Saccharomyces cerevisiae S288C: one gene and its partners. The gene in region 2 interacts genetically with the main gene of each other region. Each region holds a gene or a part of one and is shown on either strand. Other genes may lie near its edges. The genes, in order: MAD1, NUP60, MLP2 and RAD57.

Region 1 (7,582 bases), on a different chromosome or scaffold from region 2:
CCATTTGGTAATATTTGCTCTTTTTTAAGCCCATTGGACCATTGGTATAGAGGTATCATTCCAAGATGGGATGTCTTTTTCAATTTTACTCTTTTGAGAGTCTTAAGTTACAACTTGGACTTCTTAGAGAGGTGGGAGAATTTACAAAAGAAGAAAAGTCCATCCTATGAATCAAAAGAAGCTAAATCAGCCATTTTGCTCAATGAACGTGCTAGATTAACTGCTGCACACCCCATACAGGACTACAGCTTAATGAATTATATTGCATATGTTACTTACACGCCACTTTTCATTGCCGGCCCCATTATAACATTCAATGATTATGTTTACCAATCGAAACATACCTTGCCATCAATAAATTTCAAATTCATTTTTTACTATGCGGTGAGATTCGTTATTGCTCTCTTATCTATGGAGTTCATTTTACACTTTCTCCACGTTGTGGCAATCTCAAAAACCAAAGCGTGGGAAAATGACACACCTTTCCAGATTTCCATGATTGGCTTATTTAATTTGAATATTATTTGGCTAAAACTACTGATTCCGTGGAGGCTGTTTAGGCTGTGGGCTTTGCTAGACGGAATCGATACACCTGAAAATATGATCAGGTGTGTTGATAACAATTACAGTTCACTAGCATTCTGGAGAGCTTGGCATAGAAGCTACAATAAGTGGGTTGTCCGTTACATATATATTCCTCTAGGTGGTTCAAAAAATAGAGTTTTGACATCACTAGCAGTCTTTTCCTTCGTAGCTATATGGCATGACATCGAACTAAAGTTATTATTATGGGGTTGGCTAATAGTTTTGTTCCTCTTACCAGAAATTTTTGCTACCCAAATTTTCTCTCATTATACCGACGCAGTCTGGTACAGACACGTTTGCGCTGTCGGTGCTGTTTTCAACATATGGGTTATGATGATCGCTAATCTTTTTGGATTCTGCTTGGGCTCTGACGGTACTAAAAAATTACTAAGCGATATGTTCTGTACCGTATCTGGTTTCAAATTTGTAATTTTGGCAAGCGTTAGTTTATTCATCGCAGTACAAATAATGTTTGAAATCAGAGAAGAAGAAAAGAGGCACGGAATTTACCTAAAATGCTGAATGCCAAATTTACGAATATCAATTGTATAACACTGCTATCATGTATGTATTTTTATCTACTAGTACAAAAATGAAACCGAAAATAAATAAAAAAATATCGAGAGGAAGCGTGAAAAGCTAATGAACATATAATATGAAAATCTGCAGTATGATGGATAAAAATCCTCTCGAAAACTCAAATACGTTTTTTATATTCACCAGGCGTTTCAAATTTATTCTGGATCCACAGTCCCTTTTTTCTAGATCTTGCCAAAAATTCATAATATCGATACTTATCTTCTCTATCATCAAATTCTGTGTTTACTTTACCCTCATAAACAACCGCTAATCCATCCTTGAGCATTTCTAAGCTTAAGTCTTTCCACCCACCAAACCAGTCCCAGTATGACACTCGAGCTACACAACGGTTGTACTGATCTATAGATAAAGGCTTGACCCATACTTTCTTTCCCAAAATTCGGTTTTGTAACCAAATTAAAGCTTCATTACCAAACGGTTGAGCTGGGTTACCGAAATGTGCTCTTTCTGGGGCATCGATTCCACATAATCTTATAGGAATAGTTGGCAGGTTTTTCCTATTTTTGTAAGGTACATTTAGCTTCAAGAACTGGCTTTTAGCTTTTTGTATTTTACTTTTGGTGGACCTCCCATGCGTAATCCAATTGAAATTGAAAAACCTCATATTTCTGCTATCTCCAACAAGCTTTTCTGCCGTAGAATCATTCTTGATCATTTGTGGGACGGGTCGTAACCATCCCCATCCACCTCTTATACCACCTGGCATGTGAAAGAAATGAAAGTTGTCCCCGTCACCTACAGACGTGACTTTACCATAAAGCCAGTGTTTACGAAATATTCTTCGCGGTATATCATTTGTTCTTTTGAATTGAGTTAAATACCTTTTATATGTGTAGATCAATGTTAAGGTCGAACCCGTAAGGATGATGGAGAGGACAGCAACATCCGCAGATTTTTTTGAATTAGAATCACCTTCCCTCATATAAGTGCATTTATGCCCCCTTAATAGCTATGAAAAACTGGGCTTCTTTTTATATCATGTGTGACTTATTCTGTAATTTGTTTTTATTCTTCAACACAATTTTTTTTTTTTTGCATACCAAAGGAATCATAAAAGGTCAATGATGAAGAAAGATAAAAGAATTTTGTGACCAACAATTATGTCAGCGGATAGGAGTTTATCATATTATAAAACCGATTACTATTATCTATTAGAAATGTATATACACTTATTTGGCTTGTCGCTGTTCCCACAGACGCAATGTTATTGTTGCCAAAAAGCACGGAAGTTGACCTCTATCTTCCACCCATAGATTCATGAGATCATCCCATCCTTCTATATCTGCATCAAGGTTAGATTTCAAAGTGTTTTCATTTAGATCAGCAATCAAATATTTTTCAGGTTTGAAACAGGAAAATATTTTCACACGACTATCTTGTTGAAATTCCAATTTAAAACCTAATAATGAGTTTACAACGTCAATAAACTCCAAAGATTTATTATTGAAAACTTGCTTTAGTCTGGAAAATCTTTTATTTGACTTAAAAACTTCCTGTTCGAACTGTTTCAACTCGAAATTTAGTGAATCATAAACAGAAATGGGTACTGTTTCCACTGCTGGATTATTCTTTTTCAATTCGTTAAGTAAATCTGCATTTTCCTTTTCTAGAAGAAGTAATTTGTTTTTCTTGATAAATTGATCTTTTATGAAGGGGCCGTCACGTAATTGCAGTATACGTATTTTTTTCTCCTTTAGTTTAGTTAACTTTTCTAATTTTTCTTGTAGTAGCTGAATTGTAGTTTGTGCTTTACTCAACTCCCTCGAGACACTTACATTTTCCAGTTGCAATTCGTTGAGCCTCTGTGAATAATTTAAACCAATTTGGTCACTTGTCAACTTCCTCTTTTTTCTTTGTGTTTCTACATCATTGGAATTTGATAATAACTGATCGTTTAGCTTCTTTAGTTCGTTTGTTAAATCTTCTGTCTTATTTTTATAAGTATCGATCAAATTATTCATATCTTCGTTTACGTTCTTGTTTGACGCATGTGTTTCACTATTTTCGACCTCTAGTAAAGCATTATTTTGTGCGGAATATAGGCCATCTAATTGTTCGCGCAGTAATCGACATTCTTCGAAAGATAAACTCTTCTGTTGTTCTAACTCGTGATTTAATCTTTTCAAATTTACTATGTTGTTTTCATAATTCTTGTTCAAATCTAGTATTTGGTTTCTCTCTAAAGCCATTTCATCATTCAGTAGCTTTAAATTGTTATTGTCCAATCTTAACTTATCATTCATATCTGTCAAAATTAAACATTCCTTTTTGGTAAGTTTCCAGTCCCGGATAATCTCTTCAGGGTTATTTCTTATGTTATTTTTGGTTCTGTTGTTATTATTAATATTGTTGTTATTACTTGTATCATTATTATTATCATTATTATTATCATTTTTATTATTATTATTATTATCATTGTTGTTAACATTGTTATCATCATCATCGTCACTATCATTATAAATTTCCCATTTGGTTAATTTCGATTTTAGATCTATGTTTTCCAATTGAAGATTTTCATATTGACTTTCGAGTACGTGTAATTGACTTAATTTGTTTTGTAGTTTTTCATTTTCTAATTTCCAAAAAGTAGAAGTGTCCTGGGATTGTTTAAGTTTTTTCAATTCATTGGCTTGTTGCATGTTCGCTAGTTCCAATTCTTTAGTATACTGAACTTGGTCTTGGATCATTTTGTTCATTTCAGTGAGCTCGTTGAACTCTTCGGTGGAGTAGTTTGGATGTGAGTTTATCATCTTAGATGCTTTTACCGAAGATAATTCATCATCCTTTTCCATCACTTGATGCTGCAAATCTTTGATATCCACACTTTGCCTCTTTATTTCTTTCTCATATTTCATCAGTAGCGAATGAGAGCTCTCTGCTTCCAACTTGAAATGGTCACATTGGTTAGTGACCTTTGATAACTTCGAATCATACTGCTGCCTTAAAGTCTCCATTTCTAAATCTTTGTTTTGGAGGGTTGTTCGCAATTCCTCTATGCATTTGTCTTTATCATTCATCGAATTAGCTGATCTTTCTTTCAAACTCTTTAACTCTTGCTCCAATTTATCATTGCTTTCATAAAGATATTTTGTATCATTCAATGCTTTCTCTAATTCGTCAATCGTGGCCTTATATTTCTTTTCTAAGATATTCGTCTGTTTTTGTAGCTGCAATTTTTCAATCTCATACTCATTTTGTAGAGTATTGAGCTTGAATTGTAACGCCTGAATCTGACGATTACTTTGTCCATTTGTACTGCCTACGTCGGGCGAACCTCCAGGGCTTTCCAAGAAAGGAGAGGACCCACCACTATTGCTCATTTTGTACTGGATAGAATAGATCTCTAGTCCCAATTTTTTTCCAGTGAATCGTCCACTCAATGCACTGAAGAAACATTGCAATGCCGCTCTCACATCCATTATTTACTATTACCTCTCGATTTTAAGATGGAAAAAATTGTTAGGAATTATTCCTAGGGTAACACGCTATCAATTTTCATTGCTCCTTTAGCGATAAATAAGAGACTAAAATAAGATCAACTTCCTACACAATCTCTGCTCATTACATTTCGATGTCGTGGTGAAATTCTTATTCTGTATATGCAACGTAGAAGAAAGCAGCGTTTACACAAAAATGTCAAAAGTGTATGTTATTATAAGTTTTGAAAGGGATTTCAACATATACTAACAAATTCTTGAAATGTACCCTCACTGTCCTATTGTAAATCAGACCAAGAAATTTTAGGTTGTTAGAAGAATTAGAAAAGGGTGAAAAAGGGTTTGGTCCAGAATCATGTAGTTATGGTTTAGCTGATAGCGACGATATTACCATGACCAAATGGAACGGCACTATTTTAGGGCCCCCTCATAGTAATCATGAAAACAGAATCTATTCCCTTTCTATAGATTGTGGCCCAAACTATCCAGATTCTCCCCCAAAGGTCACTTTCATTTCCAAGATAAATCTACCATGCGTCAATCCAACTACGGGGGAGGTCCAAACTGACTTCCACACCTTACGTGACTGGAAAAGAGCCTACACCATGGAAACTTTATTACTTGATCTTAGAAAGGAAATGGCAACCCCAGCGAACAAGAAATTGCGTCAACCGAAGGAAGGAGAAACCTTTTAGTTATCTACTTTTTCCTAAACAGTATTTGCAGCATTCCAAGCCACTCATATATACAAGCAATAAGACATAGATATCCTCTTATTTAGGTAGTAAGTTTAATTACTTTCATAATATGAATTTACTCACCCCATGCCGAGAAGTTACTCGTGCAATTCACTACGATAATGATGTATATAGTTGTATTATCAATCCTTGCAACGGTCCTCATCCGGGCACACGAAGGTAAACCCTTAGATCTGCTAAAAAACAGACGACAGAAAGACTGTTGCACCCAAGATCGATAAATTTGTTCTCCAGTCCAAGCCAATAATAAATATATTGCAACACCAATCCACATTCTTCATGGGTCAAGAACGCCCCGGAGGGGTTCAACCTCGACGAGATACTGTACGTGTTACGAATGGCTGTTAAATTTGCGTTACTGTTATAAAATAACACTAAAATAAGAAATGGAAAGTAAATAAATAGTAAAGGAAAGTCAAATAAAGCAATGAATGCTGCATTGATCTGCCTTTTATAGCTAAGAAAAAAAAAGAGAAAAAAATAATAAGTGCGGGTAACCTCATGCATTGTAAAACGGTAGGGCTACAAGGCACTACTTACTCTACGCTATAGAAGAAGCTTCAAGACATGGTGTTGTTCTTATTTGAGCGAACTCAGCTGTCACCGTTTCGGGAAACTCTATAGTTTTCTGCGTTTCAGTACGCAGTTGGGCGTGCTAAAGTTGTTTTCCTAATTTGCTAGTGTTCACTTGCTCATTGATGTCCCTAAAAGGTAATGTCGCATAGTAAGATGTATGTCCCATATCAAACGCATTCCTAGAAAAACATGCACTGAATGAATAAGCAGTTACTTCGATTACTAATCTTCACAGCATAATTTTTCTCTTATCTTGTAAACCTCTTTCTATCTTTTCATAAAGTTTGTCACTTATATTTCTTCATTGGTACATCAATGCCAGCAACGATGTGCGCATCTGGGCGACGCCTGTAGTGATTGTTTTCAAGGTATCGAGCCAAACTATTCATCGTTACTGTTTCAAATATTCAGTTGTTTCAGTACAGAGTCGCCGTGGACCTAGTGAAACTTGGTGTCTTTACAGCGCAGAGACGAGGGCTTATATGTATAAAAGCTGTCCTTGATTCTGGTGTAGTTTGAGGTGTCCTTCCTATATCTGTTTTTATATTCTATATAATGGATAATTACTACCATCACCTGCATCAAATTCCAGTAAATTCACATATTGGAGAAAATGAAATTCATTTCTACCTTTCTCACTTTTATTTTAGCGGCCGTTTCTGTCACTGCTAGTTCCGATGAAGATATCGCTCAGGTGCCAGCCGAGGCCATTATTGGATACTTGGATTTCGGAGGTGATCATGACATAGCTTTTTTACCATTCAGTAACGCTACCGCCAGTGGGCTATTGTTTATCAACACCACTATTGCTGAGGCGGCTGAAAAAGAGCAAAACACCACTTTGGCGAAAAGAGAGGCTGTTGCCGACGCTTGGCACTGGTTAAATTTGAGACCAGGCCAACCAATGTACAAGAGAGAGGCCAACGCTGATGCTTGGCACTGGTTGCAACTCAAGCCAGGCCAACCAATGTACTGAAAAATGACCCTAAACTACTTCTAAACCCTCTCGATTTCTTTCACGTTCATACAACACCTAGTTTTATTTATTTTCTTTTCAATCTGAGTAGTTGAGTTTTCGATCACTCACATAGAACTATTTTTTGCCATTTAAATAAAGTATTCTCTCAAATGATGCGATACTATAATACTCTTTGCCATATATTACATTCATTCATAAATAGGCTATGTTTCTATATCCGTTTCCGATTCTGTCTGCAAGCAAGGTTCCCTATCATTACCGGATTGTTCACTATGGTTGGAGCTCTTCTTTTCCCCTGCACTTGCATCAGTCTCAGATTCAGAACCAGAAATGTCTCCGTAATCTTCATCCGATCTTCCTGCTGATATTTGAATACCATTGTCTTCTAAAGACACTAAATGTTTTTGAACATCACTGCTACTATCAGATTCAAAACTTATTGATTGTGTGTCATCTCCAAAAGAGGTAATATCATCGTACTTTTCACTGAGTTTATCTTTAGCAGTAATAATTGGCCTTTTAGAAAGTCCGAAAAATTGAAAGTCATCAAAATCGTCGTCTTCCATTTTGATCACGGATTGATTAGATATTTTTCTATTAGCTCTCCTCCGACTTGTGTCTTTCAACTTCTTTTGTAAATTTTGAGG
Region 2 (4,120 bases):
ATTTGGCAACTTCGAGAAGTAGTTCAAATGCAGAATTTCCAATAGTTGACTCCTTTTTTGTGTATCCCGTTAATAATGTCCATAGGCTGTCCTCAGTAATCCCAACCGAGTATGAATGATTAGCGTCGCCTATAATATCAGTCACATTTTTAGTTGTTATAGCACCATCACAATACACCTCAATGTCCTTTTTCAATATCACGCATGAAAGCACGAACTGTTTAACTTTTTTATCAGACAAATCAAAATATTTACCAGATATATCCCACAGCTGATTCAAAGTGATTTCTTCAATGTGTCGTTAGTAAATAATCTTTCACAATATAGTACGTTTATCACCTAAACGGAGCCGAAAAGGAGAATGAGACATGAACATACTTCCCTTATTTGAAGCAATTTTATCAGACACTATTTGTACGAGTTCGTCAGGATAAATCGTCAGTACCATTTTTCTTGTGGCTAGTTGGCTTCAACCAAACGTCCTCTTCTCTCTTATGGCAAGAAGAAAGTTATATGTGTGACTGGTTGTTTATTTCACTTTCGCGACTGAAAGCGCCGCCCTTTATGATGCAAAAAACCAAGCGGTATTTGAAAATGCAGATTTGCAGAAATAAAAGAAATAAAAATAAAAATCTTATAATTTTACCAGCTTCAATAACTCGATTTGCATAAGTGTGCCTTAGTATGCTTATTATATTGACTTTGACATTGAACTTCAAAACCTTTTATGTAATGATTTAAGTCTTGTCACATGACATAATAATAAATAATTTTAAAAATATAAAATATTTTTAATAGTTTTTAAATATTTTACAGTTTATTTTTTAAATTTATTTATATGTTTTTGTTTTCCGAAGCAGTCAAAGTATTTTAATTTTCGGAGCTTTCATTTCAAGCGCCTTTTTTTTACACATAATACGATCAAGATAAATTATTATAGTGGTACAGAACTCTTAAGCACTAGGCGGTGGACCTTATTAGCTCAATCTTGAGTCAGTCCATGTATCGTTTTATAATACTTTTTTAAGCACTTTCTTTAATAAATATTCCATTGAAGTACTGTTACTGAAATGAGATGAACTGTTCAGAATGTAGAAATGGCGCCAGAAATCAATCATTGTTTAGCAAAAACACCTTTCGTCTGCTGCCTCGGGTGTTTTTTCAAATTATTTCAGCAGGTAAATTAAGATAGTTATTCGAGTGATTGCCAAATATCATGTTCTACTTCGAAGACTTATAGCTAATTAATTTTTTCATAATGAAGGTGTCGTTAATTGTTCTGATTAGTAACATGAAACTCAAAAATCATCAAAAAAAGAAAAGCTAAATGTATACTTTTTTGTCTACATTAGTTACCTTTTATTACATGAGAAAGTTATTTTTCTTCTTTTTTTTTTTTTTTTTTTGAAACTTTTTCCTCTCGGAAAATAAAAGATATATTTACAAGTGAAAGCTTATTGTAATGTGTACTTTTAAACATCAAATAACAGACCTTTACATCAAATAAGCACCGCAAGATATCCTAAAATCGACATCCAATGCATCGTAAATCATTGAGGAGGGCTAGCGCTACTGTGCCTTCCGCTCCCTATCGAAAGCAGATTATTAGCAATGCACACAATAAACCAAGCCTTTTCTCTAAAATTAAAACTTTCTTTACCCAAAAAGATTCAGCCAGAGTGAGTCCAAGGAATAATGTTGCTAATAAACAACCACGCAATGAGTCTTTTAACAGAAGAATCTCAAGTATGCCTGGAGGTTATTTCCATTCTGAGATATCCCCAGATTCTACTGTAAACCGTTCCGTAGTTGTTTCTGCAGTGGGTGAAGCCAGAAACGACATTGAGAATAAAGAAGAGGAGTATGATGAAACACATGAAACTAACATCTCCAATGCAAAGCTTGCAAACTTTTTTAGTAAAAAAGGTAATGAGCCTTTATCAGAAATTGAAATAGAGGGTGTGATGTCATTGTTACAAAAATCAAGCAAATCCATGATAACTTCGGAAGGAGAACAAAAATCAGCCGAAGGTAATAATATCGACCAGTCGCTTATCTTGAAGGAGTCAGGAAGTACACCAATCAGCATATCTAATGCGCCGACCTTCAACCCAAAATATGATACTTCAAATGCGTCAATGAATACGACTTTGGGAAGCATTGGTTCAAGAAAATACAGTTTCAATTATTCTAGCCTGCCCTCACCATACAAAACAACCGTTTATAGATATAGTGCAGCGAAAAAGATCCCCGATACATACACAGCCAACACATCTGCTCAAAGTATAGCATCTGCTAAATCGGTAAGAAGTGGTGTTTCAAAGTCAGCTCCTAGTAAGAAAATAAGTAATACAGCTGCGGCATTGGTCTCACTATTAGATGAAAATGACAGTAAGAAGAATAATGCAGCTTCAGAACTTGCTAATCCATACTCCTCATATGTAAGCCAAATACGCAAACATAAGAGAGTTTCTCCAAATGCTGCACCAAGGCAAGAGATCAGTGAAGAAGAAACTACTGTTAAGCCATTATTTCAAAACGTTCCTGAACAAGGCGAAGAACCAATGAAACAACTGAACGCCACCAAAATTTCACCATCTGCGCCAAGCAAAGATTCTTTTACTAAATACAAACCTGCAAGGTCCTCATCCTTACGCTCAAATGTCGTCGTAGCTGAAACCTCACCTGAAAAGAAGGATGGTGGAGATAAACCTCCATCCTCTGCTTTTAACTTCTCGTTTAATACTTCAAGAAACGTTGAACCTACTGAGAATGCTTATAAGAGCGAGAACGCACCATCTGCATCATCAAAGGAATTCAATTTTACCAACCTACAGGCGAAGCCGTTAGTTGGAAAGCCAAAAACCGAACTTACAAAGGGCGATTCTACTCCCGTCCAACCAGATCTTTCGGTTACTCCTCAAAAAAGTTCATCGAAAGGCTTTGTTTTTAATAGTGTTCAAAAGAAATCACGGTCCAATCTTTCACAAGAAAACGATAATGAAGGTAAACATATCAGCGCCTCAATTGATAACGACTTTTCAGAGGAAAAGGCGGAAGAGTTTGATTTCAATGTTCCCGTGGTGTCTAAGCAGCTAGGAAATGGCTTGGTTGATGAAAATAAAGTTGAGGCTTTCAAGTCCCTATATACCTTTTGATAATGAAAATTTTAGCCGTGACATAATTACCGTATAGCCCAACTCAATACGTAAGTTTGTGTAAAATACCATTCCAAGATGATATTATTTAGTCATTTTTTTTCCACTTTCTCAAAAAGAAGGAATACCTTTAGCGGCTCTTATAAACTATAAATTTCTAGAAGATACATAAAAGGTTTTTAGTCTGATCATAAAATTTTTTGCTTAACAAAAAATTTGCCCAGGTGTTTCATTTGCCAGCCACAAGTAACAGCGAGAACAATTAATTGAATGACAATCCACCACATAGCACGAGAATTAACAGCTTCAGAGGCGTCTCTAAAGGTAGCTTCACGATCTCTCATCAATTTTTGCTCTCTTCTAATTTCGCCGATCTTGGAGTTTAGGACGTTAACCTTGGCATGTAGAATGTCAATAGTGGCTTTACCCTTAGAATCTAACTTTTCATCAGAGCCCACTTGGAATTCAACGTCAATCTTCGTTTTAGCCTTAATCAACCAGCCACCAGCTTCGGGCTGAATACAGATTTTATGTTCACCCGAATCAGACGCAAGGAAAGTTAAATCACCACTTGCTGAACCTTTCTGATGAACAACCAGGTGGTTATCATCAAAAGTTTCCTCAATATCAATCAAGACACCAAAATCTTGCGCACCAGCGTCTCTGTAATTTTGTAATTGGTCATCGTAAATTTGTGCCTTGTAAGTTGCTTGGAACAAAGTACCTTTAGACAATTCCTTGTGGAAGCACTTACGTTCAGCACCAGAAGTATAATAATAGAACGCAGTAACTTGAGCTGGTAAAACTAGACAGCAGGCAAAAACCTGTAAAAGAGAGGTTAAAAGCATGATTAGTAGAGAGATTGGTTACCTTTAAATACTTTTCCAAACTACAGAGGGAAGATAGAGTAAGTTTTGTATGTACACATTTCTGCTGATGTGTTTTTTTTTTTCAACTTATTA
Region 3 (10,713 bases), on a different chromosome or scaffold from region 2:
AAAATAACGTTAGATGCTGCCAAAGATCGGCCAAAAACGACTGTAAAGTGAAGTAAAGAGTACAGAATGAAGGATGCGCCCAAGAGGGAGATGTTTTCGGAGCGTTTTGTGTCTCACAAGATGTTCTCTTCTGTTCTTTCTCACTTTAAGGATTGATTCCCTATATTGCAACCAAAATCACTCAATTTTTCATCATAATTTTTCAATCATTACCCGCGCCATTGTCCATCAAAAGTAATACCATTTTGGGGCCCTGAAAAGCACACCAATACTTATTTATATTATCTCAAGATCGCTGGCACTACCGTCAGAAGTTTCTTTAGTTTCCTTGGATCCGAAATGTTTTTGCCAAACTTCTTCGCGATGGCTTCTTTTCTTGAACCATTCGTTCTTTGAAGGTGCGAGAATGACTTTTTCCTTCTTGTAATGCAAGAGATCGTTTATAACAGTTTTTTTTTTACCGAGTAAGTTGTTCTTAGGTTCGCTCCCTGATACAGAAGACTTGAGTACTTGGGAAATTTTTCCATGAGTGGGATCGAATCCTAGGCGTTGGATAAGCCCTGTCTGGAGGGCACTTTCTGTGGTTCGTTTCATTTTCTGTCGCTCTCCGACGCTCTTATCTTCTAATCCGCTGGATTCCCTCCTTCTCATAATTTTGCCTAGTTCGCGGCTCAGTGCTGTCGATTTCTTAGTTTCTATTATTTTCCTTCTTTTATTGTCTAAGTTTGCCAGCATATCTGGATTCTGAAATTTCTCGTCGAAAAATGCTTTGGCAGAATTACTATTCGTAAAATTGTGAGAGCTCTTTTTAAGTCTTTCCTCCTCTTCTGACAGGCGCTTACGAGTACCTTTGATTATATTAAACCCGTTTTCCCCTTTGGCCTTATATAGGCTTGGTTGAGAGTCCACTTTCGTAGGCGCGCCCAAGGCGTACCCACCATTTAATTCAATTCTTTTAGCACTTGTTCCACGAAATTGCACTTCTCTATGGTAATCGCAACACTTATGAAGAGATATGTTAATGGGAGAGCCACATTTTTTGTGAGTCTTTTTATTCACTATGGGACACCAACCTAAATCTCTACTTGAACCTATCTCCAGGATACATTTGAAGTCATGACTAATTCGAAGGTTGAAGGATTTGATAAAATTTCCTCGCCCTGAGGGTCTCCATGGTAGTACTTCTGGGTTTAATATTGCTATCACATCACCCAGGCGAAGATTATAATATCTTTCTACACCCTTTTTCCCGAAGATATAAACATCTAGTGTATGCTGAAAGTCCGTTATGGTGAACATGAAGAATTTGACTGGCTTTTCAGATGATGTAAATTTGATGTCCGATTTGTGGCTAATGAGGCCTACGGTGGCCCAGTTGGCGTATTCAGGCTCTTGAAATTTAGGTGGGCGAATTTTAGCAAAAAGTTTGCCCAACCGAAGGATTTTGATCTCATGCAAAGCCCGTTTTAAGTCATCTTCAGGTATGTACCTCTTTTTAACCCAAAGATTTGAAAAGCTTTCTAATTCGTTTGTGATTATCGGCACATATTTCTTCTCATCGGTACTGAACGTATGTACTCTTGCATTCATCATGCTTTCAAACTTGGCAATTTGTTTATCTTCGTTCTTCTTTGCGTTTTGAAATTTCTCCATAAAGTATGTGGTTGTACTAGCTGGTGGTTTTGGTTGCTGCTGTAATTGAGATAACCTTACTTCATTAATATTCGAACCTTCGAATTTTGTGCCTTGTTGTGTAGCATTATGAGACCCCACTTTCACACGGTTTTTGGTAGGAGATTGAGGTACCTCGATGGCTTCAAAATTAGGATCCTGGGGTTTCTTAAATTCTTGCTTTCTTTTTAATCGTTCCACTAAGGCCTGCCTCTTTCGTTCCATAAATTCAAGTTCTCTCGCGATGGCTTGCTCATCCTCTTCATCAGAAGTAATATTATTGTACGGATCAACCGCTAAAATTTCACGAGGATCATTCATTTCTCCACGAACCAAGTGCTTAATGTGCGTTGAAAATGTGAGGTTGAATTGACAAACTTACGTTCCTTTATCTTCGATGGCCTATAAAGTTGATATTTCTTAGTGGTGTTAGAAAAGGTGGGTTTGCGCATCCAAGAAACCCGCGTGAAAAAAAATGGCAAATAAACCCAAAATTTGTTCATACTTAACTACTAGTACGGATGTGTCATAAATCACTTTATGTCCTCTGTAATGACATTAGTGACATTTAAAATATGTAGATGTTTCATATTTATATAATTACATTGTTTAATATTACATCACTCGTTGGAAGCTTGATCATTTGCTGGACTCTCTTTAACCTTTTTGGTGTCTGGATCAGAAGATGTACCGCTCTCAATTGGCCGTTTAGATGTACTTCCAATTTCTGTTATTTTTGCTCCATCGGTGCTATTGTTAGTTAGATCGGTTACGTTGGAAAAGTTAATCGCCGCTTTGACTGCAACTTCAGGTTGAATATTGAGTGTACGTAGGGGGGCATTCGTATTGATATTAGATTGGGATGCTGTGAATGGGTTCTGAAAACTTTGAAGAGATGATGTATTAGAGGAGAAGAATGGCTTACCAAAACTAAAGGTTGGAATGGCCTTGTTACCAGCAGCGCTACTATCCACGATATTATTTTCTTTATTTGTAACCATTGACTGGCTGTCATTGAAGGAAACGTCATTCTTCACATTCTTCAATTGTTCTTGAGGTTTAAGGTTTTTTTGATTTATAAAGCCAGCGACAGCCGACGGCCTCTCAGAATTCCCCTTCGATGGACTGTTCCATAATTCTTCTTCGGCATCTTCCCCGCTACCTTTGTTATCAAGAAACGTTAAGCTTCCCGCGTTTTCTTTCAATTTCTTTCGAAATTCTTCTTCTAATTCTTCTTTACGCTTACTAATGATCTTTTGTATCCTTTCCTCGCTTGGTAACCTTATTCTTTTCTTTAAATTCTCTTCTGCTTCCTTAATTCTCCTTAACGTTTCATCTTCATATTCCTTTAGCCATTCCTTTTTCAATGTTTCGATATCTTTACTGTATTCTGCTTCTGAGCTTGTACTCTTATTTAAGGTCTCTTGTAATTTTTTTTCAAATTCCTTCGTTCTTTCGTCAATAATTCTGTCCTTTTCTTTCTCCATGTTAACTTTCAATTTCTCAAATGCATCAGATGAGCTATTCGCAGTTTTGAAAATTTGTAACTCCTTTTTGAGTGATTCAATTTCCTCCATTAATGTCCGATAAGTGTCCTTTTCGTGATCTCTCGAGACGTCTTCTGATTGGAGTTCATGTGCTTTGAGCTTCGTATCTAGATCAATAACTTTAGCGTTTTCAAAGTGTAGATCTTGTTCTAATTTGTCTTTAATTGCTTTTAATTCGTTGAGTTCGTTAGTTAAAGCAGCTTGTTGTTTCTTAGATGCGTCCAATTTTTCATGAGCCTGCTTCTTTAGCCTATTGAATTTATTTTCCAAGTCAGCGTTTGCGTTCTCAGCGCTTGAAAGTTTTCCCTTCAAATCACTAATCTCATTAGTTAGCTTTTCAATGTCTTTTTTTTGGGCATCTTTTTGTTGTTGAGATAAGTCCTGGTACCTCTGTTTACATTGCTCCATTTCACTTTCATATACTAAAATTTTGTTAGAATTTATCGAAACTTGTTCTTTTGTTTGTATGAGATCACGCTGTAATCGAGAAATTTCTTCTTGCCTATCATTTAATTGTTTATAAATTTCCCTGTTTTTTTCGGTTACGTTTTTGAGACTCTTTTGTAAGATGGCATTATTCTCTTTTAAAATGTTAACTTGAGTAACTTCTTTCGTGATATCCTTGAATTCGTCAATAATAACTGCAGAGCATTGGTATTCCTTCTCCGATAAAGTCTGGGTTCGTTGCAGGTCATTTATCGTTTTTTCTAAACTATCGTTCTTTTGTTTAACGAATGCCAATTCTCTCTTACAGGTGGTTAACTTCGTCTCTAAAGAATTTCTTTCATGACGTAAGTTTGAAAACAAAGAAACTAGCTTCAAATGATCTTTATCGCCATTATTTGCTGCTGTGTCATCAACCTTTTCAATCAATACCGAATTTTCAACACGCAAGGATTCCGTCTGTTCAATATTAGATATCAATTCTCTTTCATAATCAGCCTTTTCCTCCATCCATTTCCTTTCATGTTTATCGAGTAAATCCTGAGCGCTATACAATGAGGATTTGGTTTTTGTTAATTCTGCTTGGCAATCAGCCGCATCCTTTTCAAGGCGGATAACCAATTCAGATAGATCTTTATTTTCCTTCATTGTGGACTGATATTGGGACATTTCTTTTTTTTTGCACAGTTGGACAATCGTACTCATTTTTTCAATTTTTTCTATCATTTTTTGGATCCTTTCTACCTCATTCCTCAACTTTTCTGATTGTTGAACGAAATGCAATGCACCTTCTTTTAGTTTCGGTTGCAAAGCTCTTATTTCACCGAGCTCTCCGCGTAAACGAGATAGATCTTCTTCCCTCGCCCATTTTTCCTTCTTCTCTAGTTCAATCTTAGCATCGTAATTTTCTTTGGTTTTTGCTAGTTCATTTTTCAATTCTATTAGCGCATTTTCATTCGATGATATAATTTCTTCATAAGCCTGTATCTGTGAGTTTGCATCCTTCAATTGAACTTGGATTTGCTCTAATTCTTTTCTCAAAGTCGGTTCTAACGTGCTTGCATCACTATTTTGATCCAAGAATTTATATTGGAATTTGGTTTTTCTTAGTTCCTTATCCAGGTTCTCTATTTCTGATGAAAGTTTTTCAATCGTTGTTTCCTTATTTGATAATTCAGTTAGTAAGGACTTCATTTTCATTTCTGTATCATCGATGGTATTTTGAGCCCATTTGAGTTGCGAATCCTTGCATGAGCGTATCGATTCTATTTCTTGTATCTTTGATTGTAAGTCGGAACGTAATCTTTCCAAATTGTTTTCCAATTCTTTGATTTTGGCTTTGTATTGGCCCTCTTTCGAGCTAAAATCCATTTTATTTTCATTATGACTGATTTCAGACTCCTTTAGTCTCATCTGCAATTCTTTTTTTTCTTTGCAGCATTGTTCGAAATCTCTAGTTAAAGATTCTTTCGTGGGTATAAAGCTGGCAGTTTCCTTTTTCAGTTTGGAAATCTCGTACTCCAAAGATTTGATTTTGATCCTAGACTGTGACAGTTCAGTTGAGGCTCTTTCTTTCTCAACATGTATGTATGATGGAACCCATGATTTTTGTTTCTCGAGTTCAGCTTTTAGGTGGTCTATTGCTTCCTCTAACATACGTTCTTTTTCCTTTGCCAAACCCTTGAAATTTTCAAAATCCTCTAAAGTTGTTTTTTTTTTGCATTGTGATTTCTTATAAATTAACAACTCTTTTCTTAAATTCTGAATAATAGCAGAGTTTTCGACTTTTGTAGATGAAAGTTCTGCCTCAAGTTCTCTAATCTTCTTTTCACGGGCTGCTTCCATAGAAGTGACAGAATTTGTGTTGGCCTTGTTTTCTTCAGTTGATGCCAGCAATTTGTAAGAATCCCGCTCTCTTAATAGGATATTTATCCGGGTTTCCATCTTCGCATTGATGTTCTCCAGTTCAATTATTGCATCTTTTGCTTCTTTAATGGTCTGGTTTTCTACCTTTTGTAAGGTCTTGTCTTGTTTTCCTTCATAATTTTCTAATTTATCAGCCAAAATCCGAATGCAATTCAAGAGTTCAACATTTTTTTCTTGTAGCTCATTCACATTACTGAATTCAACCAGTCTTTCCGTAATGATGGCTTGGGAATCATTTTCATTTACGATATTGCTCGACTCCAGTATTTTTCTTAATGATATCAGTTCATCTTGCGATAACGGCGATGCCGTTTCCTGTATCGCAGATGTATTTAAAAGAAGTAGTTTAACTTGACGGGCCAAATCCAAACGTTGTTTCACCAGAGAATGAATATTTGCTTCACAGCCATTTATCTTCTGTCTCAGTGAAGTTATTTCTCTTTCTTGCTTACGCTTAGTCAAAGAAACAGTTTCTAGTAGTTCTGTGGAACGTTTTAGTTCATGTTCCAATGATTTTGTTCTTTCCTTAAAAGAGATCAGTTCAGGGGTTTTATGCTCTAATTCTAGTATAAAATCCTCCAGTTGATTCTGTAATTGAAATTTCTGATTCCTTTCCTTTATCAATTGTCTTTTCAGCACTTTGATATCAGAAAATAGTTTACCTACTGTGGGAGAAACTGCACTCGTAGTCATTGTAGCTTCTTCTTCCTTGGTACAATCCATAACTATATTCTGTAACCTTTGACACTCATTTTTTGATTTTTCGAGTCTTAATTTTGTGTCTATAAGTTCGTCTATCACATCAGTATGTTCAGGGTTCCTGCAGGAATTATCATCATTTTTCTCTATTGCTCTCAAGGAACAATCTTTTTCCAATGATGTTAGTTGTGAGCGTAGCAAATCGTTCATATTTTTTTGTAAAGTCATTTCTTTGGAGAATTCTGCTTTTTCCACACTTGCGGTATCTTTCAAATTTTTCATTTCCAGTACTTTCTCTTCCACCGACTGGGATAATTGTTTATTTTGATTTAGTAAAAACTTATTGTACGTAAAGACAGATTCATAGTTGGATTGCATTTGGTATAGTTTTTCTTCGAGGTTCTCTACGTGCGATGATTTTGTGACTTCTTCTGTTAGCGTTTTTTTGCTAAAAGATGATAATTTTTCTTCAATTAATTTTTTACTTTGTAACATTAATTCTTTTTCCTGTACTGAGGTATCGTACTTTAACTGTAATGATATAGCATTGGACTTGCACCTTTGTAGTATATTTTCCATTTCCATCAGCTTTCTTCGAAGAAGCTTATTTTCTTTGTTCAAATCATCATTTAAAGAATCATTCCCCTGATCTCTACTCTGCCAAATGTCATATTCTTCTTTAACTCGTTTTTCGTCATTTACTTCTCTCATAGCTTCATGGCTCACATGCAATTGTTTTTTTAGTGCATCTATTTCCCGCCTATATCTGGAACGTTCTTCATTCAGCTGATCTTTCAAGCCATTCAATTCTTCTTTAGCTGTGTTCTTCTGCTCAGAAGATTCATCTAGTAGCTGCTTAAGTTTTGAAATCCTTGAATAGTACTGCGATTTGATCTCATCGACCAAAACATTGAGTTTTGTCACTTCCTCTTCAGAACGTTCAAACTTGGCTATTTTCTTGTATAACTTTCTTAAGACAGGATAGGTAACACCTTGAAGTGATTCGAATGGAACATTTAAAAACTCAGATATTTTGTCCTCCATTGCCGGTTTGCTTCCGCCCAGTGTTCTTTCGCCTTAAATTTCTTTTGGTAAACTTCCACTAGAAAAAGAAAAGCCACCAGAGAAATAAGCGCTTGCAATTTAACGCCGATATTGTTTTCTTCTTCTATTATCTTCAATTATCGATCAACTCTATCCAACAATTCTATAATATCCACTGTTCATTAACGAATATTGGTCTTTTTCCCTTATGGTGAAGTAAATTTTCCATGCAATATCCGGGTAAGCTATCGACAAGTTTATTGACTGCAATTTGAGTTTATTACATCCGTACATTACTAAGATGTATGGTTTTTCTATTTTTGTGCTCCGTGTCGATATTTCGTGGAGCAAACCAGAAAAGATGCGGAACCTCTTAGCACTCCGCCTGGACATAGGCGGAGCATATTCCTCCTATGGGATGGGTTTTGTTGTACTCTTTTCTCTCTAGACAGGACCTCCGATTGCCTCCCTGAGGGTGAGATGGTTTCCGGCCTCAGGACGGCCTTCTCCAGTTTCTAGCGAGGCATACATTCCAACCAAAGGTGTATCAAGAATATCTGAAATTAAAGGTAGTTGAATCTCTATTTGTTGTTGTTATTACCGCTTATTATCCCATAGTTGAGACGACCAAGATTCAAACATGCAAATGTATGCACCATATCCATTCTAAACATAGTTTTTCGAACGTTCAGAGCTTAAAGGGACAATTATTTTAGAAACTGAATTTTTACCCAGTGGAATAACATCGTATCTGTAAAGTCTACAAAATTTTTTATCCATCAAAAATTAAAACAAAGAAAACTGCCAAACTGAATATGAGGAACTTTCCTCTCTAGGAATGACTTAGTGAATGTACAGTGACTTGTGGAAAATATGATTAGATTTTGAGCGGGTGATGCGACTTAACAGTCTCATTGCCTAAGAAATATCCAAATTTGTGGTTCATGCTCTCCCCCAAGATATGACGATGAGAGCTCGTTTAAAATTTTGTCTTCTTCCGAACAGTTATGAAAAAACTATTACGTGTTTTTATGATATCCTTACTAACTTGTCATTTTTTTATAAAATTATTTTTTTAACAGTTTTGTCAAGACTTTGACTGGTAAGACCATCACTTTGGAAGTTGAATCTTCTGACACTATTGACAATGTCAAGTCAAAGATTCAAGACAAGGAAGGTATCCCACCTGACCAACAAAGATTGATCTTTGCTGGTAAGCAATTGGAAGACGGTAGAACCTTGTCTGACTACAACATTCAAAAAGAATCCACTTTGCACTTAGTCTTGAGATTGAGAGGTGGTATCATTGAACCATCTTTGAAAGCTTTGGCTTCCAAGTACAACTGTGACAAATCTGTTTGCCGTAAGTGTTATGCTAGATTGCCACCAAGAGCTACCAACTGTAGAAAGAGAAAGTGTGGTCACACCAACCAATTGCGTCCAAAGAAGAAGTTAAAATGATCTGTTTCGCCCAATCAATCTATACATTTATTTACTGTATACTTTAATGTACATCTTCTTTTATCATACCTACTGTTAAAATCATAATATTAATTCATACAATATACTTAAGAAAACAATATACTTTTCTTAGTTTCATAACTTTGGAATCTATAATGTTGTTTTTTTTTTTTTAAGTATATTTGTATATTATGCATATAAGTCAACGCGTAGCGGTGGTATTACGCGCAAGCTTTTGATTTCTCTTACTATTCTTGGTTGTTCATTTGTTATTTTTCTTTCCCTGATATGCTGCACAAAACTCAGTAAGAATAGTTTTCAATTTTGGTCTTTTGATTGGTTTCGATAAAAATCCGTTCATTCCTGATTCCAAACATTCTTTAATGTTGCTATCGTCAGCAAAAGCGGTTAGAGCGACAATAGGTGAGGTATAACCTAAATCGCGCCTTATCATCTTGGTAGAAAGTAAACCATCCACTTTAGGCATCTGGACATCCATGAAAATCATATTATAATTTTCGCCCTTAGATGTCAATTCTTTAACTTTGTCGAATGCTTCTTGGCCATCGCAAGCCAGTTCAATATTTTCAATGCCCTCCAAGTTCAACATTCTTTTGATAACTTCCTGATTTACATGATTATCTTCTACAACCAAAATTTTGACACTTGTTTCATTTTTATCGTCGTCTTTGACTGTGGGGATGTTTCTACTTGATGTGGCTGTACCAGTACTTTGCAAAAATGGTCTATCAAGATTGACAGAACCTAGACCTTCATGTCGAGAACGATGCTTAGAAGACAAGGAATTTTGTTCGTTAACTTCAGCACCTGTAAGACATATAGAAGGTTTAATATTTTTTTCCTGCAGTTGTTCAAGCCCTCCATTGTCGTTTTTTTCTTCTCTTCCCATGTTAGGATTTCCAACATCTTTCGTCTCATGCTTACCTTTACTTCTTACCTCCGGTAGCACGTCGTTGGTTAGGCTACTTCTATTTGTAGCTGGTGTTGCAACAGATGATGTGGATTGTCGGCTCTTGATGCTTTTAGCAACACTAAACTTGACTCTTCTGTTCTTTCTACTCTCAGGATTAAATTCGTCCTCAAAAGGAAACTCCATATCTGCAAAACTGATCTCTTTAGTTTGATTTAATGGCAAGGTAAAAGTGAATTTACTACCAACACCTACTTTCGACTCTAATTTCATCGTTCCATGCATCATATTTGCTAACTGTCTACAGATTGATAGACCTAAGCCAGTACCACCATATTGCCTGGACAATGTTTGATCACCTTGAACAAATGGATGAAATACAGATTCTTGTAAGGAAGGGTCAATACCAGGCCCAGTGTCTTCCACTTCAATAGAAATAACCCACGTTTTGGGGTTTTCGATAGGTCTTCCTAGGTTACCACCTTCTTCATCATCTGAGCCAGGTGCTTTATTGAACTGACTATTGAAGATAGCGTTATCATACGAGCTGGTAGTTGTTGATACTATAGAAGATACATCATCATTCGAAGCTTTTTCCCTGTCATTCACTTTCTTATAGATACTTTCATTCGCAACAGTATTTCTTTTTGTTATCTCTTCCTGAATTGTCGAAGTGTCTCTATTACTTCCTAGGGAAGTAGCGCTGGATTCTAAATCGACACTTTTCCTATGGTTCGATAAAGTTGGAAGATCGTATTTATCTGTAGTTTCTAAATTTTCGGTTACTTCTGTCCCTTTTTTGATATACACTTCTTTGTATTGCTTCTTCTCGCTTAATTCTTTGTCGTATTCACCCAACAGTTTCATTCTTACATCAACGGTACCATCTACAGGGGTGAACTTTAGTGCATTGGACACTAGATTCATCACAATTTGAATAATTCTGTTGGAATCACCCCAAAGAACCATTGTCCTTATCAAATTAGGAAA
Region 4 (7,148 bases), on a different chromosome or scaffold from region 2:
AGTTCCAGAACTGTGTGTTTATCAATCTTGATAATCTGTTGACGGGATTTTCGTTTATACGAGCTTCATCTAAGAAAATTTGGTGTCTACCAAAACTTTTCGCAATAGTTAGTTCCTGCAACAAATTGGATAACATATACGTACCCCTAATATTAATATGCTTATAGCCATAGGAGTTTGCGGTACCGACTTTCAAAACTTTTGGACCGGTATCCTCGATGGTGATCTGATAATTTTTATCGGTATCCTCAGCAGCCAGTAGTTCATTAAGTGTTTTATCGACATCTTCGATAAAGAAACGACGATTACCTTGACTACTTGAATAGGTGTCATCCTCAGAACCACGTCTAGTCTGTTGAAGTTTACCAAAACCAGTTTTCTTGAAAGGAGATACATTATCGAAAACACTCATAGTCCTCGTACGGTTGATCTTAGCGGGCTTTGCCTGCTTCTGCTTTCTTGGGTCTGTTGGGGGGCCATAGTAGACTTCTGCGTTCGAAAATGGATCATTGAATTCACTTAGTGATGATAATCTTCTTTGACGGCCTTGGGCTACCGGTCCTTGGCTTGTATTAACTTGACTCATTCTACTGATTTTTTTTGTTAATTTTTCTTTTTTTGTTTATCAGGCGTTCTTGTATCTAGTAATCTCCTTATATCTATGCAGTTGGTTGTGAAATCAGTCAATATAAAACTATCTTCTTGATATTATATTTACTCTACGGAAAACGATAGGGGGAAAATTTCTAGCTAATGTTTTGCGATCTTTTCAGGCCAACAAATCTTGTACCTCGCTCCTGAAAAATCCCGTAAATCGGTGATCGCGCAAGTTTCATATTGATAACCTTGTGAACCAGTCTATATATAGCCTTATATAAGTACTGCTCTATCAAACTTAAGATTGGTGGCCTTCTTCGGTAACTAGGGGATAAGGGGCTTCGTCCTACACGATGCTCCTGTCGTTTCTTTTTTTCATTTCTTTTTTCGCCCAGCGGGAAGTACGCGGAAAACAAGAAACAAAAAAAAAATAAAAAAATAAAAAATAAAACAGAAACTAAAATCTGATGATGAAATTGATATTCAATTGGAGAAAGAAGAAAGATCTTGTTTAATTTGAAATAAAAGCAAGAAGATAAACACAACTATAGAAAAAGAATGTCTAGCGAAGATAAGAAACCTGTCGTCGACAAGAAGGAAGAGGCTGCTCCAAAGCCACCATCCTCTGCTGTCTTCTCCATGTTTGGTGGTAAGAAGGCCGAAAAGCCAGAAACCAAGAAAGACGAAGAAGATACCAAGGAGGAAACCAAGAAGGAAGGTGATGATGCTCCAGAATCACCAGATATCCATTTTGAACCAGTGGTTCACCTGGAAAAGGTAGATGTTAAGACAATGGAAGAAGACGAAGAAGTTCTTTACAAGGTCAGAGCCAAGCTTTTCAGATTCGATGCCGATGCCAAGGAATGGAAAGAAAGAGGTACTGGTGACTGTAAGTTCTTGAAGAACAAAAAGACTAACAAGGTTAGAATATTGATGAGAAGAGACAAGACCTTAAAGATTTGTGCTAACCACATCATTGCTCCAGAATACACTTTGAAGCCTAACGTTGGTTCTGATAGATCTTGGGTGTATGCTTGTACAGCAGATATTGCAGAAGGTGAAGCAGAAGCCTTCACTTTTGCTATCAGATTTGGCAGTAAGGAAAATGCTGATAAATTTAAAGAAGAATTTGAAAAAGCTCAAGAAATCAACAAAAAGGCTTAGTTTCGATGTGCTTGTTACTTGCGTCTAGATTTTTTTGTTCCTAATGTAATTTTCCTTTACAGCGTGCATATATATTTTTATCTACTGTGAGGAAAAGTTGCTCTTTAATTATATAAAAAACGCTTATGTAGCATTGTGAAATCACATATGAATAGATATGTAAGAAGGATTAGAGGGTTCAAGTAATTGTTGCAGTAGTCAATGTAGCCAAATGTCTAACCACTTTGGTGCATGGAGATTAGCTCAATAATCTCGTAGTATGTTTCCGGGTAATATTCTCTGTCTTATTTACCATCTTTATGTTTCCGCCCTTTTATTTTTGTTTTTCTCGCTACTCCTTTATAATTACTAATGAGAATCGAATACTATAGAAATTTTTGACGTAATAAAGGAGCAGTAAATTTGGAATACATTCCTTAGCTCGCTAGAAAGCTGAAGGAAATTTAGCTAAACAGAGAGTATAGTTTTGAAATGATTTTACGGGAGCAGATCGACTTCCTAATACATAAAAGACAGGATGATAATAATAACAATGGTGAAGCGATTACAGATGATGATCCATTTAGCTCTTCCTCATGGAGATGGGGAAGATGGATTTTTTTTATTTTTTTCATAGTTGCACTCCTTATACTTCTGTTTTCAACTGCAAAAGTGAATAGGAGAAGAAGAATTATGGGTCAAGCTCCGATTAGGGGAACCGCTTGGTTAACCCCGCCTACCTACAGGCAGTCCGAGAGAGATTACAATGGCACACAGCGTTGCGTTGAAGACTATGTTCCTGAATATACAGAGACAGCAAATGAGAATGATTTGGGGTTTTACGACGAACGAGGAGAGTTTCATCCTAATGGCAAAACGGAATATTTAGCGCCACCGCCTTTATCAGAAGAACAAGCTAGCTCGACTGATAAAGACTTACAGCGCCCAGTGGCTGCCGTCGTACGAATTCCTAGTGAAAGTGAATTCGACTTCAATCTGCTAAGACCCACTATGAATAATTTCGTTAATGGTCAGAGTAATCGCAACGAGCAGCATTCTCCGACTGTTGAATCTTCTTCCTTTGATGTTAATAACGCGCCGGCAAGAGCGAAAGTGAGTAAGTGATTTTTCGTTTAATGAATTTATTATCGCATGACTTGCGGTATAGAAAATAGTTATAAGAGTGCTGAAAAAAAAAAGAAGTACAGAAGTTTTCGTTTCTTTGAAAGTCGCGATTATTCCGAGTTGTGTATTATAGTAGGAACATACTATTGATTTAGGTTTGAGAGCTGGTAGTATCGACGTCCAGAACAGTCAATTCATCGGAACGCTTTCGACTCGGTCCACGGAAAAGCCATTCAACGATTTATACGGACGGTGATTTTGATTAGTCTAATTGCCTATATATTATAAATATATTCTTCCTTTACCTATTTCTTCTCACACATTATCCTCTAAGTAACATGAGAATTCAGATGCCGGTTAATCTTCGGCTTTTTCGCGTTGAATTCAAAAAATGAAAATGATGAACAACCACTGGGAATTCACCATTTTTCAAAGTGTGTAAATTCATGCCTAGGGCCTTATCAATAAAATTTGACAATACGTATATGGACCTTTACGATGAATTACCGGAAAGTAAACTCCTTTATGATGAAGAATTTTCATATCTTTTGGATGCAGTAAGGCAAAATGGTGTCTGCGTCGTAGATTTTTTAACACTCACTCCGAAGGAATTGGCAAGGCTAATACAAAGGTCGATAAATGAGGTTTTCAGATTTCAGCAATTGCTTGTTCATGAATATAATGAAAAGTACTTAGAAATCTGTGAAAAAAACTCTATCAGCCCAGATAACGGTCCTGAGTGTTTCACGACTGCTGATGTAGCTATGGATGAATTATTAGGTGGAGGCATATTCACGCATGGCATTACAGAAATATTCGGAGAGAGCTCTACTGGTAAATCTCAATTACTTATGCAGTTGGCGTTAAGTGTCCAACTTTCCGAACCTGCGGGAGGGCTTGGCGGCAAATGTGTATATATTACCACTGAGGGCGATTTACCAACTCAGAGATTGGAAAGTATGCTATCGTCTAGGCCGGCTTATGAAAAACTAGGTATTACACAATCAAATATTTTCACCGTCAGCTGTAACGACCTAATAAATCAGGAACACATAATCAATGTTCAGTTGCCTATTTTATTAGAGAGATCTAAGGGTTCAATAAAATTGGTGATAATAGATTCGATTTCTCATCATTTGAGGGTGGAGCTTCAGAACAAGTCCTTCAGAGAATCCCAAGAAAATAAAAACTATCTGGATAGGATGGCAGAGAAGCTCCAAATACTGGCCCACGATTATTCATTATCCGTTGTGGTGGCTAATCAAGTTGGGGATAAACCACTGGCTAACAGTCCAGTGGCACATAGGACATATGTAACTGATTATGATTATCAGCTAGGGTGGCTAGTTGGCTGGAAGAACTCAACCATTCTTTATCGGCAGATGAATTCGCTGCTTGGAGCAAGTTCCAATAACGATGAAATTCTATCAGACGATGAAGATTATATGCTAATCGAGAGAGTTATGAGCACTGTAAATGACCGGAATTATGATTTTTTTTCAAAAAAGAAACCACCCATAATTGAGAATAAAACCGTTGAGCGAAATTCATCAAGTCCTATCAGTCGACAAAGTAAGAAACGGAAATTTGACTATCGTGTCCCCAATCTCGGTTTGACTTGGTCCAATCACGTTTCAACACGAATATTACTTCAAAAATCTTTCAAGGCTTCAACAATAATTCAAAGAGGTGAAGCTCATCTTTATAAGGGAGGTGATTCGGCAAGCTTCTGGCAAGTTAAGAGGACAATGAAAGTGGTATATTCCACATTCGCTAAGCCTGGTCAAATTGCATATCAAATTACTAAGCGAGGAATAGAAACAGCCTGATTGAAGTTCCGTATTCGAAAGAAACTAAGAGCTTTGCAGTAATATATGATGAAGGCAGTCTTTTTATATAGTAGCGCACATTATTCAATCCTCGCTAAAGTGTTCAATTAGTAAATATAATATTGTCATAAAGGTACATAGTTGAAAAGGGTATTTTTTTAAAAATAGAAACTTACAATAGTAGACATAAAGGGACTGTTTTTAACGATTATAGGTGTAAGACAAGGAAAATTCACAAATTAAAGTTTAAAACTACTGTAGGGATTCTTCTTGATCTGATTTATCATCTATTACATTCTCATCATAAGTGAAATCGTATTCTCCTTCGTATTCATTTGAGCCATCATCTATTATAAGCTTTCCCTGAGGTTTTTTTGCCAAGGCATCTTCCACTTCGCCTGTACTCGAATTTAGACGCGAGCAAATCAAGTAAAGGTAAGCCACTCTTTTCCTTTTCCTGTTGTAAAGAAAACCTATAAGATTCCAAAGATAGCCAGGCTCATCTTCCAAAAAAGAGTTTGAAGGTGAATATTGAAAAAGGACGCAATCAGAAAGAGTCATGTGAGAATTAATTACCTCCCAGACCCATTCCTCTGGTTGTCTACCAAGAGAATATAAGGTGTTTTCAAATTTGGAAATAAAAGTTTTCAATGATGTTTTGACAAAATCCGTTGGCTCAACCGATGAAAAATCATGGTCAGGATAAGAAGCGTTGAGGATAGCAATCAGATAAGCAAATATTTTGCGGCTTGACGGTTCGTTTATGGGACCAAACGGACCCAAACTTAAATTGCTTGGCCTTTCGTTTATCGAAGATTTTCTTCTTTTGTTAACATTGTTGGTTGCTGTACCAGAACTGTAATTATTGTTCGATGATTTACCACTTTTGAAACTGCTAATACTGCTACTGCTCCTTCTTCTTATCCTCTCATCATTCTTAGAAGAAGAATCAAGAGACGATGAGCTCATAGAGCCAGAATCGTAATTCGAGACTAATTCTTTTAAATTTTGGTCATTTAGCTTGGCACTTTTGGGAAAAGTTGCTGGAGAAGAACCATTAGGTCCAGAATAGTTATTGTTATTACTGCTATTGCCATTACTGTTGTTAGTGTTATTATTGCTATTGTATTCACTAAAAGATATTCTTCTCTTTTGCTCCCAAAAAGAGTTGCTATCCCTCCTATTAGAATAAAATGGCGACGAGCAGGGTGATTGGTTTGTTTCGGGAGCAGCTAGCTGTTGCTGAAGGGTAGCATTGTAATTCTCATTTTCCTGTAAAATAGTATCCAAATGCTGATCAATAGTTTTATATAATTTTCTATCTGATGCAACCGCCTTTGTTGTGAAAATATCGCAACTGCCCACGATTTTACAGTCATTTGTCTCGAAATTGAGAGTTTGATTCACTCTCTCTATATCTAGCTCATCAATAAACTAAGGAAGAAAAGGAGGGTTCAGGTACAATGTTAGTAATTTCGAATAAAGAGCATGGCAGTTTTAGAGTGATAACATACTTTCATTGTCGTGATTCTTTAGGCAAAAAAATCCGTTTGGAGTAATGAGCGGTTAAACTTGTTCTTGGTGAAGTGTGCAGAGTTTCTAAACTTTAAGTAAATGACACTAAGCCTATATTTTTCGCATTGCTAAAGAAACACTGATACATAATGTGTCTACATTTTATATAGCTGATAGCACGTTCTTTTTAAGTTGAATTATCTTTTTTTTCTCTTGTTAAATAAGATGGACAACGCGCTTTCGCTGGCGAGATGAAGCGCCCCTGATTGACAAGCAACTCGTGGAGGCAAGTAATTAGCGACGCTTTACTTTGTCTGATAGCAGTAAATATGTGACTGCATTTAAGAAGTGAAATTATAAGAAATGTACGCTTTAAAAATGATATATGAAGTTACATAAAGAAATGGTAAAAAAATTTTTTTTTCCTCCATTACCGATAATAGTTATATTCCTTTTTTATTAACTTTATCTCCTAACATTTCGATATAATGAGGACCGAATACGGACCAATGAAGGTTGATTAATGCATATAAGTGGCGATAAACATTCTCGAATTCCTCCAGCTCTGTTGCTGCGAATAAACCTCTGGATGCAATCGCATTGCCAGTAGGTGTGGTGGTGGAGGTTTTAGAAGGAGACATCAAAGACGGGCTGATTTTAACGCTAGCAGTATCTGTAGTAGTACTCAAAGTGTTAGTGCTACCTACGTTGCCATTGTTTGTGTTGTAGAGGTACACAAAGTCTTGTTTAACGCGTCCATCAATTGTGCACTCGGACCTGTTGAAGATAGCGTCCTCTAGTGATTTGAATACTCTATTTTCTAGGACACCATAAACTTCACTGAGGGGTTGAGTTTGCTTAGATAACCAAGATTTAGCAAAGGTTATTTTTGAGTTGTCTAATGAAGGCAATTGAGGCCTTCTGGCTTGTTCACAACTA

What was found.
Region 1: mutations in NUP60 (region 2) and MAD1 together harm fitness more than expected from each alone (negative genetic interaction), as found in Saccharomyces cerevisiae (5 studies listed by BioGRID, with this or other methods).
Region 3: mutations in NUP60 (region 2) and MLP2 together harm fitness more than expected from each alone (negative genetic interaction), as found in Saccharomyces cerevisiae (6 studies listed by BioGRID, with this or other methods).
Region 4: mutations in NUP60 (region 2) and RAD57 together harm fitness more than expected from each alone (negative genetic interaction), as found in Saccharomyces cerevisiae (5 studies listed by BioGRID, with this or other methods).

The regions. Positions count from the first base shown.
Region 1 is NC_001139.9:344,141-351,722, reverse strand, and holds MAD1 (coiled-coil domain-containing protein MAD1), read right to left. Parts: upstream 4,605-7,582; coding exon 2,355-4,604; downstream 1-2,354. Other genes in the region: GUP1 (O-acyltransferase), read left to right, coding at 1-1,107; LCL3 (Lcl3p), read right to left, coding at 1,283-2,107; E2 ubiquitin-conjugating protein MMS2, read left to right, coding at 4,819-4,829, 4,915-5,317; YGL088W (uncharacterized protein), read right to left, coding at 5,522-5,887; MF(ALPHA)2 (Mf(Alpha)2p), read left to right, coding at 6,570-6,932; LIF1 (Lif1p), read right to left, coding at 7,139-7,582. UniProt on the Saccharomyces cerevisiae protein: Central component of the spindle assembly checkpoint. Thought to recruit MAD2 to unattached kinetochores. During checkpoint activity, MAD2 is relayed from the MAD1-MAD2 complex to the mitotic checkpoint complex (MCC).
Region 2 is NC_001133.9:150,719-154,838, forward strand, and holds NUP60 (FG-nucleoporin NUP60), read left to right. Parts: upstream 1-1,538; coding exon 1,539-3,158; downstream 3,159-4,120. Other genes in the region: transcription factor TFIIIC subunit TFC3, read right to left, coding at 1-288, 379-448; ERP1 (Erp1p), read right to left, coding at 3,347-4,006. UniProt on the Saccharomyces cerevisiae protein: Functions as a component of the nuclear pore complex (NPC).
Region 3 is NC_001141.2:60,737-71,449, forward strand, and holds MLP2 (Mlp2p), read right to left. Parts: upstream 7,332-10,713; coding exon 2,292-7,331; downstream 1-2,291. Other genes in the region: MCM10 (Mcm10p), read right to left, coding at 277-1,992; ubiquitin-60S ribosomal protein eL40 RPL40A fusion protein, read left to right, coding at 7,972-7,979, 8,414-8,792; SLN1 (histidine kinase), read right to left, coding at 9,055-10,713. UniProt on the Saccharomyces cerevisiae protein: Together with the closely related MLP1, involved in the structural and functional organization of perinuclear chromatin. MLP1/MLP2 associate with the nuclear pore complex and form filamentous structures along the nuclear periphery.
Region 4 is NC_001136.10:451,890-459,037, forward strand, and holds RAD57 (putative DNA-dependent ATPase RAD57), read left to right. Parts: upstream 1-3,311; coding exon 3,312-4,694; downstream 4,695-7,148. Other genes in the region: alpha,alpha-trehalase NTH1, read right to left, coding at 1-586; Ran GTPase-binding protein YRB1, read left to right, coding at 1,156-1,761; RCR2 (Rcr2p), read left to right, coding at 2,233-2,865; YDR003W-A (uncharacterized protein), read left to right, coding at 2,893-3,015; RNA polymerase III-inhibiting protein MAF1, read right to left, coding at 4,947-6,128, 6,209-6,214; SOK1 (Sok1p), read right to left, coding at 6,653-7,148. UniProt on the Saccharomyces cerevisiae protein: Participates in the repair of X-ray-induced damage to DNA and in meiosis. It may act in part by stabilizing a repair complex of other RAD genes.